Xenopus tropicalis: one gene and its partners. The protein of the gene in region 1 interacts with the protein of each later gene in a pairwise test. Links are inferred from orthologs where the notes say so. Each region holds a gene or a part of one and is shown in the gene's direction. Other genes may lie near its edges.

Region 1 (3,145 bases):
GTGAAATTTGATTGGCTGTTGGTGGCTCCGCCCACTTTTCAAAACTTAAACTGCAGTCCCCTAGTGACCAAGTGTAAAAAGTTTGGGGACCCCGACGTTATTACTGTGAGACTGGCAGCAGGTTGGATTTTTGCCAAATCAATAGGTAAAATTTGATTGGCGGTTCACAGCTCCGCCCACTTTTGGGCATCCAATAATCATCCTATTTTCATTCAGGCTGAGCCCATGACTGTGTGATTCAAGTTTGGGGAGTGTAGCCTCAAAGCTGTAAGATTGGCAGCAGTTTCAATTTCCCCATTAAAGTCAATGATTAAAATTTGATTGGCTGTTGTTGGCCCCTCCCACTTTGGGGTCATCCAACAAATGTTGCTGCTTCATTCTGGGTGACCCCATGATTATGTTATTCAAGTTTGGGAGGTGTAGCTTCAAAGCTGTAAGAGTGGCAGCAGTTTGAAAATCTTCCCTGTCAAAGTCAATGGGAAAATTGGGGGGTTCGGAGCGGCGCCACAAAAAGACGGGGGGTGCAATCACTTAGAAAAGCACAAGCAACCTGCTCCGCTATAGGGCGAAGATGTGTGGGGAGTTTGGGTGCTGTACCCCTAAAACTGTAGGAGGAGTAGTGTTTAGAAAATGGGGGGCGCTAAGAAGAAGAAGCGGAAGAATAAGCTAAAGTCGAAAAACAGTATGTTGGGGTTTTCAACCCAACATAATTATTTGTTATGTAAACAGTGTAATTTAGAAATAAAAAGTACACAAAAATCACAGCAGAATCCATTTAAGAAGTTTCAACAGACCAACATTACTTCATTCCTACCCTCCACTACAATGGCTAGAGCTGGAAGAAGAAAGCTATGAAGACCAAGCTAAAATGGCAGCTGCAATCTTAAACAGAGAAAGCTTTTAGGGCTCTTTACTCAGGTATGGTAATGCTTTCTGCAGAATATATAGAGTGTTCTAGGTGGCACTAATGTGGTGGATCTATTGGCAGTAAAATGACGTTCCTTCTCCTTTTAAACAGTAATTTTTGGTTCAAGAATAAAATTTCAATTGGTAGAGTGAATTATTTGTACAGTGTAATTTAGAAATAAAAATTATGCCATAAAAATCATGACAGTATCCCTTTAATGTTACTATTCTCCTGACCTGAAATAATGCCATGTCAATCAGTGTTTTTCACAGACAACATGCAGGCAAGTTAATTCTGATGTGTAATAATTCTAATGACTGATGTGTAATGTCTATAGTGCTGTCCAGTGTCAGTACAGGTATTGGACCCCCTTATCCGGAAACCTATTATCCAGAAAGTTCTGAATTACGGGAAGGCCATCTCCCATAGACTTATTTTAATCAAATAATTCACATTTTTAAAAAATATTTCCTTTTTCTCTGTAATAATAAAACAGTACCTTGTAAGATATAATTAAGCCTTATGGGAGGAAAAACAATCCTATTGGGTTTAATTAATGTTTAAATAATTTTTTTGAAAAATAATATGGTGGGTAAAGGCGAGACTGAGAATAGTTAGCAAAGTTCTGTTTAGGCAGAGAGTAGAGTCCATATTAGGCCATTGTAATGAGGTTAGGCTGTTTCTAGATTTCTACACTAGGAAGGAGTCTGCCTTGTTACCACACCATCACCAATCGTAAGCCCTCCTGGCATATTTATTTATTTAGTAATCTAAGTAGCAGTTGGGAAGAAATAGTTCCCTCCCTTGGGGCATTTTAGGCATTAGGGATATAGGTCCTAGTTTTGTATAAAGGGGTTTAGATTGTCACCTCCATCATTGGCCCATCATGGCACATTTGGGCAGAAAAAAGATAAACATTTGGGATTGCTAGCCTATTGAATTATAAACTTGCTTTTTTTGTCACCCACCAATAGTAACAGAAACCCCACCTCCACCACCCCCTGCAGAAGAGCCTGTCTTTGACGAATCACCTCCTCCTCCTCCCCCTCCAGAAGACTATGAAGAAGAAGAAGCTGCTGTAGTAGAATACAGTGATCCATATGCTGAAGAAGACCCTCCTTGGGCTCCAAGGACTTATTTAGAGAAAGGTTTGTAAAGCAATGTTGTCGTAATAGGTAGATTATACATCGCTAAATGACATTCTGACCAATTATTAGCAACATATCCGTAAGAGCATTTCCAGATAGTGAAAAGAAGAGAAAAGTCATACATACATCCCCGACTCTCATTCACAATATACTATCTTATACTTTTTTTTTTTTTTAATAGTTGTTGCAATCTACGACTACTCAAAAGACAAAGAGGATGAGCTATCCTTTCAGGAAGGAGCCATTATATACGTCATTAAGAAGAATGATGATGGGTGGTACGAGGGTGTCATGAATGGAGTGACAGGGCTTTTTCCAGGCAACTATGTGGAATCTATCATGCACTATTCTGAATGATGGCGACACATGGCCAAATAAAACTTTCCAACTGTTGTGACTTCCCACATTTACATGGGCCCTTTGTGGGCCAAACAAGTGAATGAATGAAGAGCAAGATCTTTGTGATCAAACCACTTTTTCTTTTGTTTTATGATTACCAATTAGTGGTGCAAGTTATTTGAACAAAGTGTTCTTTCATCGCAGCAGCTCTGGTTTATTGAAAAAAAAATTTTGTTGAGAAAAAAAAAAAATCCTGGCATTGCTTACCCCTTGTTTTGTCTTTTCTACCCCCCCCCCCCCCCCCAAAAGTCCCAGTCCCAGGACTGCGGGATGTAATTACGGGTAATGTAACCCTGTTATTTCCAAGTATTTGATATGCGTTTCTTGCTGTACCGTGTATGCAGCTGAAGTAGTTATTTCCAGATCTTGAGTCTTTTATGCGATCACACTTGATGAGGAATACGAAATTGATCTTCTTTTAATAATGTGAGGAACATAAGGCAGATTTTTCAGTACAAATGTATTTCCAGCATAAGCACAATAAAGTGTAATAAGTGCATTACCCACCAAAGAGTATAGAATCTACACATCCTATCGCAGCCAGTGGTGCACTAATCATTTCTGTGTGTCGGTGGCACATAATGTTGATAAATTTCTCCCTGCTTCCCTTAAATTGTGGGGAATCTGATGTTGCTGCTGTGATTCTTTCCACACAAAATGGATTCGGACGAGTGTGGCGTGTTTAGCAATG
Region 2 (4,289 bases), on another chromosome or scaffold:
CCACTCTCCAAATTAATTTTCCTCCTTTCCTCACTAAAACCACTTTATTCTCCTAGTCTGTTTTATTTACATGCTAGCATCTATTCTTCCATCTATTTCTTCTCTTTGTTCCCATTCAGAAATAGGGAATGACCATGAATAGGCCAAATGGTGAGGAGCAGGAGGGCCCACTGACCCCTGGGCCCACCGGGAGTTTTCCTGGTATCCTGGTGGGCCAGTCCGACTCTGTTTGTGTGCACTGTGAATCCCAGGGGGATAAAAGTGAGTTATAAAATACCCTATATTTAGCATCTGTGCCACTGGTCTTTTTTTTTACTTATTTTTAAATTATTTGCTGCCTTTTTCTGCCTCTCTATGCTTTCAGGCAGTCAGCCAGCCAAAAAACTATTGCTCTGAGAGGCTATTGTTATTCAGTACCATATCTCACGTGGTTGCTAGTTTAAATATGACCCTAGCAACCAGATAGTTGCAGAAATACCAAACTAGAGACGTGTTAACATCCCAATTCCTTATGCACATGATTTATAGCCATTTTACCCCTATATACATGTGTGGCGATATAAAGAGTAGAAGGCCATTGCATATTTATATTTGGGCTGCTTTTTACCCCCAGTCTGGCCCTGCAGCTTGGTGTTTCCATTTAACGTTCAATTTTCAGTGCGGCTTGGGCAGCATGCCACCCTAAGGGCTCTGGCACACGGGGAGATTAGTCGCCCGCGGCAAAACTCCCTGTTCGTGGGCAACTAATCTCCCCGAGTTGCCTTCCCCTGCCATCCCACCGGCGAACATGTAAGTCGCGGGTGGGATGGCACACGCGGCGGCGCGATTTCACGCAAATCGCCGAAGTTGCCTTGCGAGGCTTTTTCAGCGATTTGCGCTAAATCGCGCTGCCGCGTGTGCCATCCCACCGGCCACTTACATTTTCGCCAGTGGGATGGCAGGGGAAGGCAACTCGGGGAGATTAGTTGCCCACGAACAGGGAGTTTTGTCGCGGGTGACTAATCTCCCCGTGTGCCAGAGCCCTTAATCTGTTCCGCCCCGGGCCTGGGCCTTTGTTGCCTGGGTGTCACGTGTTTTCTATTGAAACGAGTGTCTGGAGGGGCGGGGTCAGACGGTATTGCGCCAATACGGCCCGTGGGCCATAGTTGTAAGAATTGTGTGAGCAGCAGATAAGTACCACAGTCTTCATTTTTTTATCCTCTGAGGTTTTTGCCACTTTAGCACTTCTACACTTTCCAATTTCCTGCTACCAAGTTGCCAACCTGAAGAGTGAGTAGGAGAGGGTCTGAAGAGAAAAATACATCATAAATATATAAATCTCAATACAAAAGTATACTCATAGCATGACATTTTGTTTATTTCTATTGTTCCCACCCTCACACTTACCCGGGTAATTCTGCCCCTAACGCTACAGTTCCGCCTCAGCGCTTTGCGCCTCCCTCACGCTTCCCGCCCGGAAGTAGGACGAGAACTGGCACCCGACTTGAGGCTTCTGCCAGTACGGTGACATCACTTCCGCCCACCCGGAAGCGCAGGTACTGCGGGCTGATAGAGAGCGGGGATGGGTGACGGGGAGTCGGAGCGGTTTCAGTACCTGCAGACGTTGGTCACTGAGTTCCAGGACACGGACAGTGTCGGTAAGGGAGAGAGAGGGGGAGATTTAACCCCATTCAGTTTCGTTACGGTTGTAGTTTTGTACCAACTCTCCGCATCATTTCCTCTTCTCATTAGTTTCTCCCCTTAATTGCTCAGAAGCCAAAGAGCAGGTCCTGGCCAATCTGGCCAACTTCGCCTACGATCCCCGGAACTTTTCCGACCTGCGGAAGCTACAGGTGCTGGACCTGTTCCTGGATATGCTGACTGAGGGCAATGAGAACCTGGTGGAGTTTGGCCTGGGTGAGAGAATGTACTGAAGTGCTGAGCCCACAATGTGCCCCCATGTGTGGCAGGAGGGTCACAATATAATGCAATATAATCTCAGCTCCCACCAGCATCCTCCCCCCAGCATCCTCCCACCAGCATCCTCCAGCTCCCCCCAGCATCCTCCTCAGCATCCTCCCACCAGCTCCCCCCAGCATCCTATCCCAGCATCCTCCCACCAGCTCCCCCCCAGCATCCTTCAACTCCCCCCAGCATCTTCCTCAACATCCTCCCACCAGCATCCTCCAGCTCCCCCCAGCGTCCTTGCCAGCATCCTCCAAGCTCAGGGGACACATTGACTTGATGGAGGCCCTGAGTGTAACGCTGGCCCGAAATCACAGGCCTCTCAGCTCCCCCCAGCATCTTCCCACCAGCATCCTCCAGCTCCCCCCAGCATCCTATCCCAGCATCCTCCTCAGCATCCTCCCACCAGCTCCCCTCCAGCATCCTTCCCAGCATCCTCCAGCTCCCCCAGCGTCCTTCCCAGCATCCTGCTCAACATCCTCCCACCAGCTCCCCCCCAGCATCCTTCAGCTCCCCTCAGCATCCTTCAACTCCCCCCAGCATCTTCCTCAACATCCTCCCACCAGCATCCTCCAGCTCCCCCCAGTGTCCTTCCCAGCATCCTCCTCAACATCCTCCCACCAGCTCCCCCCCAGCATTCTTCAACTCCCACCAGCATCTTCCTCAACATCCTCCCACCAGCATCCTCCAGCTCCCCCCAGCGTCCCTACCCAGCATCCTCCCACCAGCTCCCCCCAAGCATCCTCCCACCAGCCCCCCTCCAGCATCCTCCCACCAGCTCCCCCCCAGCATCCTTCTCAGCATCCTCCTAAACATCCTCCCCCCCCCCCCAGCGACCTACAGCGACCAATCAGGAGTCAGCGGACCGGATTAAAAAGGCCAATGGGCCAGACATGGCTTGCAGGCCGTAGTTTGCCCACCCCTGATATAATGACTCCGCCCCAATCTCCAGTTGATGGACAGTATAGTGAAAGTGGCTATAGGTGGGCAGTGGGTAGATGCTTAAATTTTCTGCTTGATGACAGTGGGACGGACCATTGAAAAAAAGCCAGTGTCAGACTGGGGGCCCCTCACTGAGGGTGGAGGGCCGATGTTGCTGGCAGGGATCAGGCCTGGGTTGGTGGGGCCCACTGGGATTTTTCTCATTGTCCCAGTCTGTCCCTGGGAAAAGCCCAATATGCAACCTGGCACTGGAGGGGGGGGTGGCAGAATCAGTAGGTTTTATCAGCCCATCTATGGCCACCGTGTACCACCCCCCCCAACCCCTCGCCTGTCATTGGTCTCTGACAAACACGGCTCTGGTATATTTATCGTTTTCACTACAAACTTCTGTGCGATCCTTTTATACCCAGATAAACATCCTGTGTTGCGAATATAAACATTGGGTGCAGTGAAAGCCCAGTTATCTTGTATTAACCACTTCCAGCAGGACGGAAGGATATTGTAGGTTTGGGCAATATGTTTTTTTCCATCTTTCCTATGGGATCCCCCCCCCCCCTAAAAAACATGTCCTCAATTTCAATTGTGATCAAACCCCCTGTAGGTCATAATGTCTTTGAAATTGTTAGTTTGCCTTTAACCATTCTCTCTTTTCCAATAGGGGGTCTCTGTAATCTCTGCCTGGACAAGACTAACAAGAGTCACATACTAGACTCCGGGGGGCTGAAATTGGTCATCAATTGCCTGTCCAGCCGTCGGGAAGAGACGGTGCTTTCGGCGCTGACCACACTCATGTTCCTGTGCACGGCCGCCTCCCGCACTGAAGTGACGGCTCCTGCTGTGGTGGAGTGCATGGTGCGCTTCTCCCTTTCCACCAACCGCAGGATCAGCAATTTGGCCACCATCTTCCTGCAGGATTACTGCAGCGATAAGCAAGTGCAAGAAGCCAAAGAACTGAGCCAACATTCGGCATTGGGAATCCCGCTCCCTGAATCCACGCAGCACCCCATCTGACTCCCGTGTCGGACATTTGCACCCTACTAGAAACAGATGCAGCATGGCTGTTCTCGGAGTGTGACAAACTCTGTGTTTGAAGTGCTGGTCACTTTCATGATCATGAAACAAGTTTGGGAGACAAGTGCAAGCCTTGCCGGACTGCAGTCCCCTGCAAGATACTGTTCCGTGATTCAGTTATGGACTGACCCCATGGTCCCTCGTGTATTTATTTCTACTGTATTAAAATCATTAAAGAGGAAAAGCACTCGGTGCTGCTATCTACACTGCTATCCACTCTTCGTGAGTGGCCAATGGTTGGCGAGATTGTACAGTTGTGTTTCTTAGCTCTCCCCAGCAAAGCTTCATGGGTTATTCAGGGTCCATGAAAGGGGTGGGGGAACCTTATGGTA
Region 3 (4,093 bases), about 22 Mb from region 1:
GTGGAACAGTCCCTCTTCTGACAGCTCAACCCGCAGTCCAGGATTCTTACTAAAAAGTCCCTCATTTCCCTTTGATCTCCTGTACTGAATGCTAAAAAAGATACAAATTTAATTAAAAAGTAGCTTTTGGCAGAGAGCCCAGAAAGTTAACAAGCTTCAGCTGCATTTAGATACATTGTTTCTCACATTAAATTAAATAAGTAGCTTTTGGCAGAGCCCAGAAAACTTAACAAGCTTCTCCTGCACTTAGAAACATTGTTTCACACATTTAATTAAATAAGTAGCTTTTGGCAGAGAGCCCAGAAAGGTAAAAAGCCCCCCCTGCACTGAGATACAATTGTAACTAATAATCTAAACAGGTCTCTTGGGGGGACTGAGACTTGCAGCTTAAAGGGCAATTTCACCTTTTTTTAACAAAACTGTAACAACACATAAAACAAGACCCCAAACCCCCAGAAATGTTTTCAAACTTTATAAAACCTGCCAATTTAGTCAAATGGGAGCGGTATTTAGGGGGTGTGGTTGCAAAAATGGGCGTGGTCAAAAACAATTCACCATGCCGCATTTAATTTTGTGCCTCTTTCCATTTTCAAAATACTGGGAGGTACGTTTTCGGGTCACAACGGTTAATGTTACAGTCTTGTGAAACCCAAACAATAATCCGGCCAATAACCAGCAATAATGTCCAGGCCCCTCCCCCAAAAATGTCATGACCCCACCCTCAAATTTCTGCCCCTAATATCACCCTGCCCTCTCGTCTGTCTATCACAGATTTCAAAGGCGGCAACCCTATAACACTGGTGCTGGTGATTCCTTACCAAACAGAAATATAGATTGGCCTTAAATACCCCAATGCAGCACCCCTCTAATGACTGCCCTATATACCTACTATAGATATATAATATATATATATATATATATATATATATATTATATATCTATATTATATATCTATATATATCTATATATATATCTATATATATATATATCTATATATTATATCTATATATCTATATATTAATAATCTGTCTGTTGTTCCTCCATTGATCAGCTGACCCTGCCTTTCCCAATCCCCTATGACATCACTGCTGTTGGTACATTCCTTTCCTCAGACTTTCAGGTGACGTTAGTCACATGACTATGCCAATTCGCAGGCGTTACCTGCCCTTCCTTCCGCGGAGGACCCTAAAAAACTACAAAGGACCCACGATTTAGGCAACCATGCAGCTGCCTGTAAAATACGCAACGCTGAACTCGCACCTAGACAGATGTTTAGCCTTTATATGCTGACGTGTAAAGGTTCCTTTTGTAAAAGAGTTCAGCGTATGAATATAGAATAATTCCCCAAGCGCGGCGGCACTTGTTTTTGAGTCAGGCGGTGAGCGGGCAGACCCGGAAGCCTCTGTGCTTGGATGTTGTGACTGGGGAGAGAGGAAGCCGGAGTAGGAAGAGCCAGGCTAGCAGCGGGGCCCCAGCACTGTACACGGACCTCTCGCCTTCCTATCGCCCCAGCATGCCGCTCTTCGGCTCTAATCCCTTTGATCAGGATGTGGGTAAGTGCTATCCCTGGAACACGGGCATCCATACGGGGAATATGCAGCTCCTGTATAACTACAACCCTCAGCGACCCCTATATGCCTGCGGCTGTTGGAGAGTTATAGTTCAGTAACAGAAAGGATTTCAGTATTATTGGTCCATGTAGTAAAACCCGCGGCTGCTGAGGAACCTCTTGGGGAGAAAAGCTGTCACGTCATGCCTACTTTATTATCCAGAAGCCAGCAATGGCCTTTAGCTCTGGTATCCCACATGGGCTCATTTATTATTATTATTATTAACATTTATTTATAAAGCGCCAACATATTCCGCAGCGCTGTACAATAAGTGGGTTTCATACATTGGACATACAGAGTAACATATAAAGCAATCAATAACCGATACAGGAGGGGAAGAGTAACATTTGTACTTGCCCAGTAACCCATGCCAACCAATCACATTTGTACTTTAATTAATCATCCTGCCACTCTCTAACCAAAGCTAACCAGCCTATCCCATCCCCAATAGTGTCAGTACGCTCCTGCCATACTGCTTCATATGTTTCCTCTAGATAAAGGGATGAGATGGCCAGGCTGGTATATCATTTACATCTATTACAGCTATGGGATCTGTTATTCAGAAATCTCCGAATTACAGAATGCCTGTCTCCCATAGACTCCATTTTAATGAAACAATTCAGATTCTTAAAATGCATTTTTCTTTTCTCTGTAATAATAAAACAGTGCCTTGTATTTTATCCCAACTAAGATATAATTACCCCTTATTGGGGGAAGAACAGTCCTATTGGGTTTATTTAATGGTTAAATGATTCCCTTTTCTCTGTAATAATAAAACAGTACCTGTACTTGATCCCAACTAAGATATAATTACCCCTTATTGGGGGCAGAACAGCCCTATTGGGTTTATTTAATGGTTAAATGATTCCCTTTTCTCTGTAATAATAAAACAGTACCTGTACTTGATCCCAACTAAGATATAATTACCCCTTATTGGGGGCAGAACAGCCCTATTGGGTTTATTTCATGGTTAAATGATTCCCTTTTCTCTGTAATAATAAAACAGTACCTGTACTTGATCCCAACTAAGATATAATTACCCCTAATTGGGGACAGAACAGCCCTATTGGGTTTATTTAATGGTTAAATGATTCCCTTTTCTCTCTAATAATAAAACAGTACCTTTACTTGATCCCAACTAAGATATAAGGGGCAGAACAGCCCTATTGGGTTTATTTAATGGTTAAATGATTCCCTTTTCTCTGTAATAATAAAACAGTACCTGTACTTGATCCCAACTAAGATATAATTACTCCTTATTCGGGCAGAATAATCCTATTGGGTTTAATTAATGTTTTATTGTTTTTTTTTTTTTTATCAGACTTAAGGTATGTAGATCCAAATTACGTAAAGACCCCTTATCCAGAATACCCTTGGTCCCGAGCATTCTGGATAATAGGTCCCATACCTGTACCAGCTTTTGTCATTGTGAGGGCTATATGTAGCGCACTGGCTGTCTATGTGCTTTGTATATAATACATTCCAGTGTAAGGACAAACCAATCAGAATGCTGCAGTGGCTTAGGCTGCTTTTTGTTGACAGACCAGGTTATGATAAGGAAATCATGGCATCTGCAGGTAAAGGGCATGTCAAGGATGTTTTTTTACCCCTCATACCAAAGACTGCAAGGGCAACTATCTCAGCAATCTGTATGCACAAGCTGGAGTCAGAATTCAGGTGACAGTAGGGCCCTTTCCAGAGGGGACACAAAGCTGCATGTATAAAGTCAGATGTAAAAAGGAAATAGAAAGATTAACTTGATTATTTCAGAAATAGTACAATTATGTGATGTACCTTTCATTTTTGTATTGAGTCCTCAGGTTATGGATTTTTTTGTTCTATGGTTTAAGATCACATCATTTGTTCTCTTGGGGGCCCTTTAGAATTACCCCACCCCCACTGATGCAGTTGCAAATCCTGTACATAACTGATACAAAGACACAGGCTTACTGAAGGCCAGCTGAACAATTGTGACCATCCATTTAATTGTCAGCTGCCGATTTGGGTCCTTCACACTGATTTGGCAGCTTATCTGCCCAGTTATGGGCATCACCGATGGGCCTACCTGACCGATATCTGGACTAGATCAAGATCGGGCAGGCTTTATTTTCCCATCAGATCTGGGACAGCATTGGCTCGTTGATGCGTTTCCTTGATCCGACAGCCGATATACCCACTGTTTTTATTTGATCGTTTAGACCAGTGATCCCCAACCAGTGGCTCAGGGGCAACATGTTTCTCCCCAACCCCTTGGATGTTGCTCTCAGTGCCCCCAAACCAGGGAGTTATTTAAATTCCTGACTTGGGGGCAAGTTTTGGTTGAATAAAAATAAGATTTACTCCCAAATAAAGCCCCTGTAAGCTGGTGCATAGAGGCTGCCTAATAGCCAATCACAGCCCTTATTTGGCTCCTCCATGAACTTTTATGGTGCTTCTGTTGCTCTAAGTCTTTTTACATTTGACTGTGGCCCATGAGTAAGAAA
Region 4 (4,161 bases), on another chromosome or scaffold:
GCCATCTGTATATGTTAGTCTATGTAGGTAATCTGTCGTTTTTTAAGGGAACAGTAGTGGATTTTCACACAGAGAACCTAATTTATTGAGAGGACAGGGCACACACATTGGCACAAATCACCATCTTTTTGTTCCCATAATGCAGTGTTTCTTCTCAGACTTAAGCAAAAGAACCAGAGAGACTGGGGTAAAGCGGAGAAAAATTTCATTGTGAAAATCCCTTGTGAATTGGATGGAAAATAGTGATTTTTGTGTGATATTTGCTTGAAAACACATCCATGCTCTTATTCCGATAAGAATCATGCAAACATTGCCTGTCTTGGCATTTATCATAGGGAGACATTGAGGGAAATTTCAATATGGAAGCTGATGGGAAAACTGACCAGTTGCCAGTGTCCTTAAGTCATGTGACCCCAATAATACACCACTTACATCTTTAAAGGAGTGGTACACCATTAAATTCACTTTTAGTAATAGACATGGTAGTGAAATTGTGAGACAGATTGCAGTTGGTCTTCTTTTTTATTATTTGTGTTTTTTCAATGATTCTGCATTTTATTTGGCAGATCTCCAGTTTCAGCAGCTTTCTGGTTGCTAGGGTCCAATTTAACCTAGCAACCAGGCATGGTTTAAAAGAAAGACTGGAATATGAATGGGGAGGGACAAAATATTATTTTTATTATTATTAACATTTATTTATAAAGCGCCAACATATTCCGCAGCGCTGTACAATAAGTGGGTTTCATACATTGGACATACAGAGTAACATATAAAGCAATCAATAACCGATACAAGAGGTGAAGAGGCCCCTGCCCAAAAGAGCTTACAATCTACAAGTAGAAAGAATGAGCAATAACAATGTAGCCTCACGGAGCAATAAATTCTTGTCTATGGGAGTCATTGACCCTCACAGTCAGAAGAGGAAGGCAAATAATTACAAAATGACGCAAAATAAACAATCAGGACCAATTGAAAAGGTGCTAAGAATGGACCAATCTAGAATGAATAAAACCTGTTTGAGAAAATAATTAATATAATTTGATGTAATCCTTATGCTGTTTTGTGATTACATGAGGTACAATTAAATATGCAGAATTAGAATATTCAACCTTAAAGGGTTAAAACAAAGGAAAAATACCTGGAGCCTATCCCTGTGCATTAGTATTCACATCTGGCAAATGCTTCTGGTTTCCCCCAGGCGCTCACATCTGCCCCCCTGTACAGCAAGCTTACCTGGGTAGGAGGAGCGTGGGCACATTCTTGTTCCGCTTTAATGATGTCCAGTTTCCAGCCTGAACATGCCAGCAGCAGCCACTGACACACATGTACATTCACACCTACACATAGCCATTCATTCCTACACATACACATTCATACCTACACACACACACACACTGCATCTGCTGCCACTGAGAGACTCCCCTGCTGCAGAGAAGGCAAATGAATGATCCAAAAGCCCATTTACATTCCACAGGTCGGATAAAGTGCTGCTGTGACTGCCCACTGCCTCTCGGCTCCAACCTGATTAAACTTGCATCCTAGCACTTGTATTCCGGCAGCTGCCCCACTCACAGCACTCCAGGAATTCTCTGCCACTGCCGCAAAAAAACTATGAGAAACTGATGAGGATCAGAGCTGCCTGCTGCTATTTGGATCTGTAAGTCAGAGCAGCAGCAATGTCCAAGCCATCACGTTTGGCCAGGCCCTTGCCGTCTCATGTACCCTCTAAGCCGCCTATGAATAGGAAAGAAGATTTTAGCAACCGAGGAAGGAAAAGCAGCTTAGGAGAGAAGATTCTGCGAGCAGGCAGCGAAGGGAACCTGACTAGGCAGCAAGGGCAGGCAGCCCAAATAGCCAGCAGGCAAGCCGGCTCCAGCAGCAGCACCAAAGGTACAGTCATTTCTTCTTTAGCAGCTCTCACTCTGTTTGATGTGCAGATATTGCCTTATTCTCCATCTCTTGCTGTCTGTTTGAACTCCACTGACCGGTCGTATCCTATGTATGTATGTATAACTTTATTTATAAATCCTGAACTGCAACTCCCAGCTGTAACTCCCTGTACACATTGGCAGCTGGGAGTTTGTCCAATAGAAACCTGTGTGACTGCTAATATGTCTTTGTACCAAGCAGATAGCCAAAAGTTCAATACTGTACCCCAGCAAGCGATGGCTCTGTGTCTGACAGGGAATGGGGACATCCCACAATAGCTGTGTTATCATATTGCCATGCTAGAAATTCTGATAAATACAGTAAATTCCACGTGGGACTTGTTTCTTCCAAGCAACACAATCAGGTCAGGGAGCACTGCAGGTTACGACTACTCACTCAGTGTGTTTCATTAAGCACCAGATTAAGGGCAGTGCAAATAAAGGTTAAGTAATGTTGCAATGGGATGATTTACACATCACAGATTACACTGTTCCAGGCATGGGAAACAAATTTGTGTAGCATTGATTATTCTCCAATATTAAGTATTTTGGCTGCTTTGTCACTCCATATTTCTTCCCCCTGCCATATACTTCACCCTGGGCAAGTTAGGCTTTTTATAGTGTTTAGGGGCAGTGAGTAGTTTAATAGCTGAAGGGCTACAGGATGGGTAACACTGATATAGTGTTGCTTACTATTTGCCCTACTGTTTTTTCCATCTTTCTCTGCTGCTTTAGTTCCTAATTCCATCTCTTTCTACCTACAAGTTCTGCTCTAGAGGGGCTCAAGACATGCAGAACATTAACCAGTCACCCCATTGGAACCCCTAAAAACATTTCTGCCCCTTTGCCTTTCCATATAATCAGATATGTTTGTCATTAGCTTAGACTTGACTTCAGTGCGGTACTGACCCATTTGGTTGCCATGTAGATAAAAGGCAACTCAAATTTCTATTAAATGGCAAATGGATGCCAGCAAGCTGAAAGACAGAGAACAGGGACCAAATGAATATCAGGCAACTGAGCCTGCTATATACAGCAAAGTGTACAGCAGCCCTCTGCAGTGTTTGCAAAACATTACCTTTATTTTACAGATCTTGGAGCTCCTTTAAACACTGATGTTGTGCAATAAATTGAAGGCTTGTGGATTGTGTCACGTGTGCAGAGAGAGAGCCACAGGGAATGTCCCAGTGCCCCGTGTAAGGGGAGGTCAGGGGCTGAGTATATTTCATGGCTGGGGGCAATGCATGGCAGAGGATGTAGGCAGTGCTCTTCTCATTTCATTAGATCATTTCACTTTTTAATTAGGTCCATTCCTCCTGCGTGTCCTTAGGGCCCGTACGAGTACCGAGGGTTTTTTTAATTCTATTTCCTATGTTGGAAACATGTAAAGTGGGAATTAGCTGCCGCCGATTATTCAGCACAAATATCAGTTCCCTAGATCGCTCTCTGTGAAATTGAATTAGCTTTTTGAATTTAGCTTTTGAATTAGCTTTTCACTTTTATTGTGACACAAGACTGGGCAGCAATAGTCTTAAACTGCCCATACACACACCGATAGTATTGCACGATCAATGAGCTTTTGCAACATCGGTAATCTCGTCGATCGGGACTAAAGATTTTGATCGGGTGCCATTGAAGGCGCCGGAGCAAAATCTGCATTTAGGGTGGAATTGTCAGGTGGAGATTGAATTCCTATTGTTTCTACCTCCATATCTGATGATTCAGCCCTGAACCTCTATGGAGGGAACGAACGACCTGTGGTTGCAGGAAAGATCATTATGGGTATGTTTATGGCCATATTAAAACAAACCCCTGCCTGGTTTTCAACATTTTGAAAACCGGGCAGAAGCCCTCCAAATTGCGTCTAGCAGACACAATAACCCCACCCCGACGTCATCACACAACCAGAAAAGGTCCCACCAGTGCACATTTTACCTTCTCCTTATATCTGTGGTTGGGGGTGGGGGTCTACTCGCAGTTTCCAGCAGGGACTGGGCCTGGGTAGGCAGCCCCCCCCCCCAAGATTTTCCTGGTGTCCTGCTAGTCTGATCCTGATTCTGCCTGGGGTTTAGGGTTTTGTTCCCCTTTAAAGTGAACACTATGTCTGTAAACATTTATCATGGGTGCAGGATAGTTTTGTGTGAATAGAGAAAAGCTTGCTGTATCCTCCCTAATGCTCTCGTAAATCATGGCCCATTATATTCAGGCAGGAGAACAGATAATAAACACCTTC

Evidence for each region. The genes of interacting proteins can lie anywhere in the genome.
Region 2: the proteins of abi2 (region 1) and armc7 interact in binary tests that used the Homo sapiens proteins (3 or more experiments, as listed by UniProt). The link is inferred for Xenopus tropicalis from reciprocal best matches to the Homo sapiens genes ABI2 and ARMC7.
Region 3: the proteins of abi2 (region 1) and stam2 interact in binary tests that used the Homo sapiens proteins (3 or more experiments, as listed by UniProt). The link is inferred for Xenopus tropicalis from reciprocal best matches to the Homo sapiens genes ABI2 and STAM2.
Region 4: the proteins of abi2 (region 1) and kiaa1217 interact in binary tests that used the Homo sapiens proteins (3 or more experiments, as listed by UniProt). The link is inferred for Xenopus tropicalis from reciprocal best matches to the Homo sapiens genes ABI2 and KIAA1217.

Annotation. Positions count from the first base shown.
Region 1 is NC_030685.2:54,233,985-54,237,129, forward strand, and holds the end of abi2 (abl interactor 2), read left to right. Parts: intron 1-1,881; coding exon 1,882-2,055; intron 2,056-2,236; coding exon 2,237-2,412; 3' UTR 2,413-2,645; downstream 2,646-3,145. UniProt on the Homo sapiens protein: Regulator of actin cytoskeleton dynamics underlying cell motility and adhesion. Functions as a component of the WAVE complex, which activates actin nucleating machinery Arp2/3 to drive lamellipodia formation.
Region 2 is NC_030686.2:44,366,072-44,370,360, forward strand, and holds the start of armc7 (armadillo repeat-containing protein 7), read left to right. Parts: upstream 1-1,489; 5' UTR 1,490-1,561; coding exon 1,562-1,637; intron 1,638-1,641; exon of another isoform or gene 1,642-1,731; coding exon 1,732-1,896; intron 1,897-3,544; coding exon 3,545-3,897; 3' UTR 3,898-4,289. UniProt on the Homo sapiens protein: As a component of the minor spliceosome, involved in the splicing of U12-type introns in pre-mRNAs.
Region 3 is NC_030685.2:75,874,824-75,878,916, forward strand, and holds the start of stam2 (signal transducing adapter molecule 2), read left to right. Parts: upstream 1-1,293; 5' UTR 1,294-1,513; coding exon 1,514-1,553; intron 1,554-4,093.
Region 4 is NC_030682.2:26,191,618-26,195,778, reverse strand, and holds the start of kiaa1217 (sickle tail protein homolog), read left to right. Parts: upstream 1-1,361; 5' UTR 1,362-1,676; coding exon 1,677-1,890; intron 1,891-4,161. UniProt on the Homo sapiens protein: Required for normal development of intervertebral disks.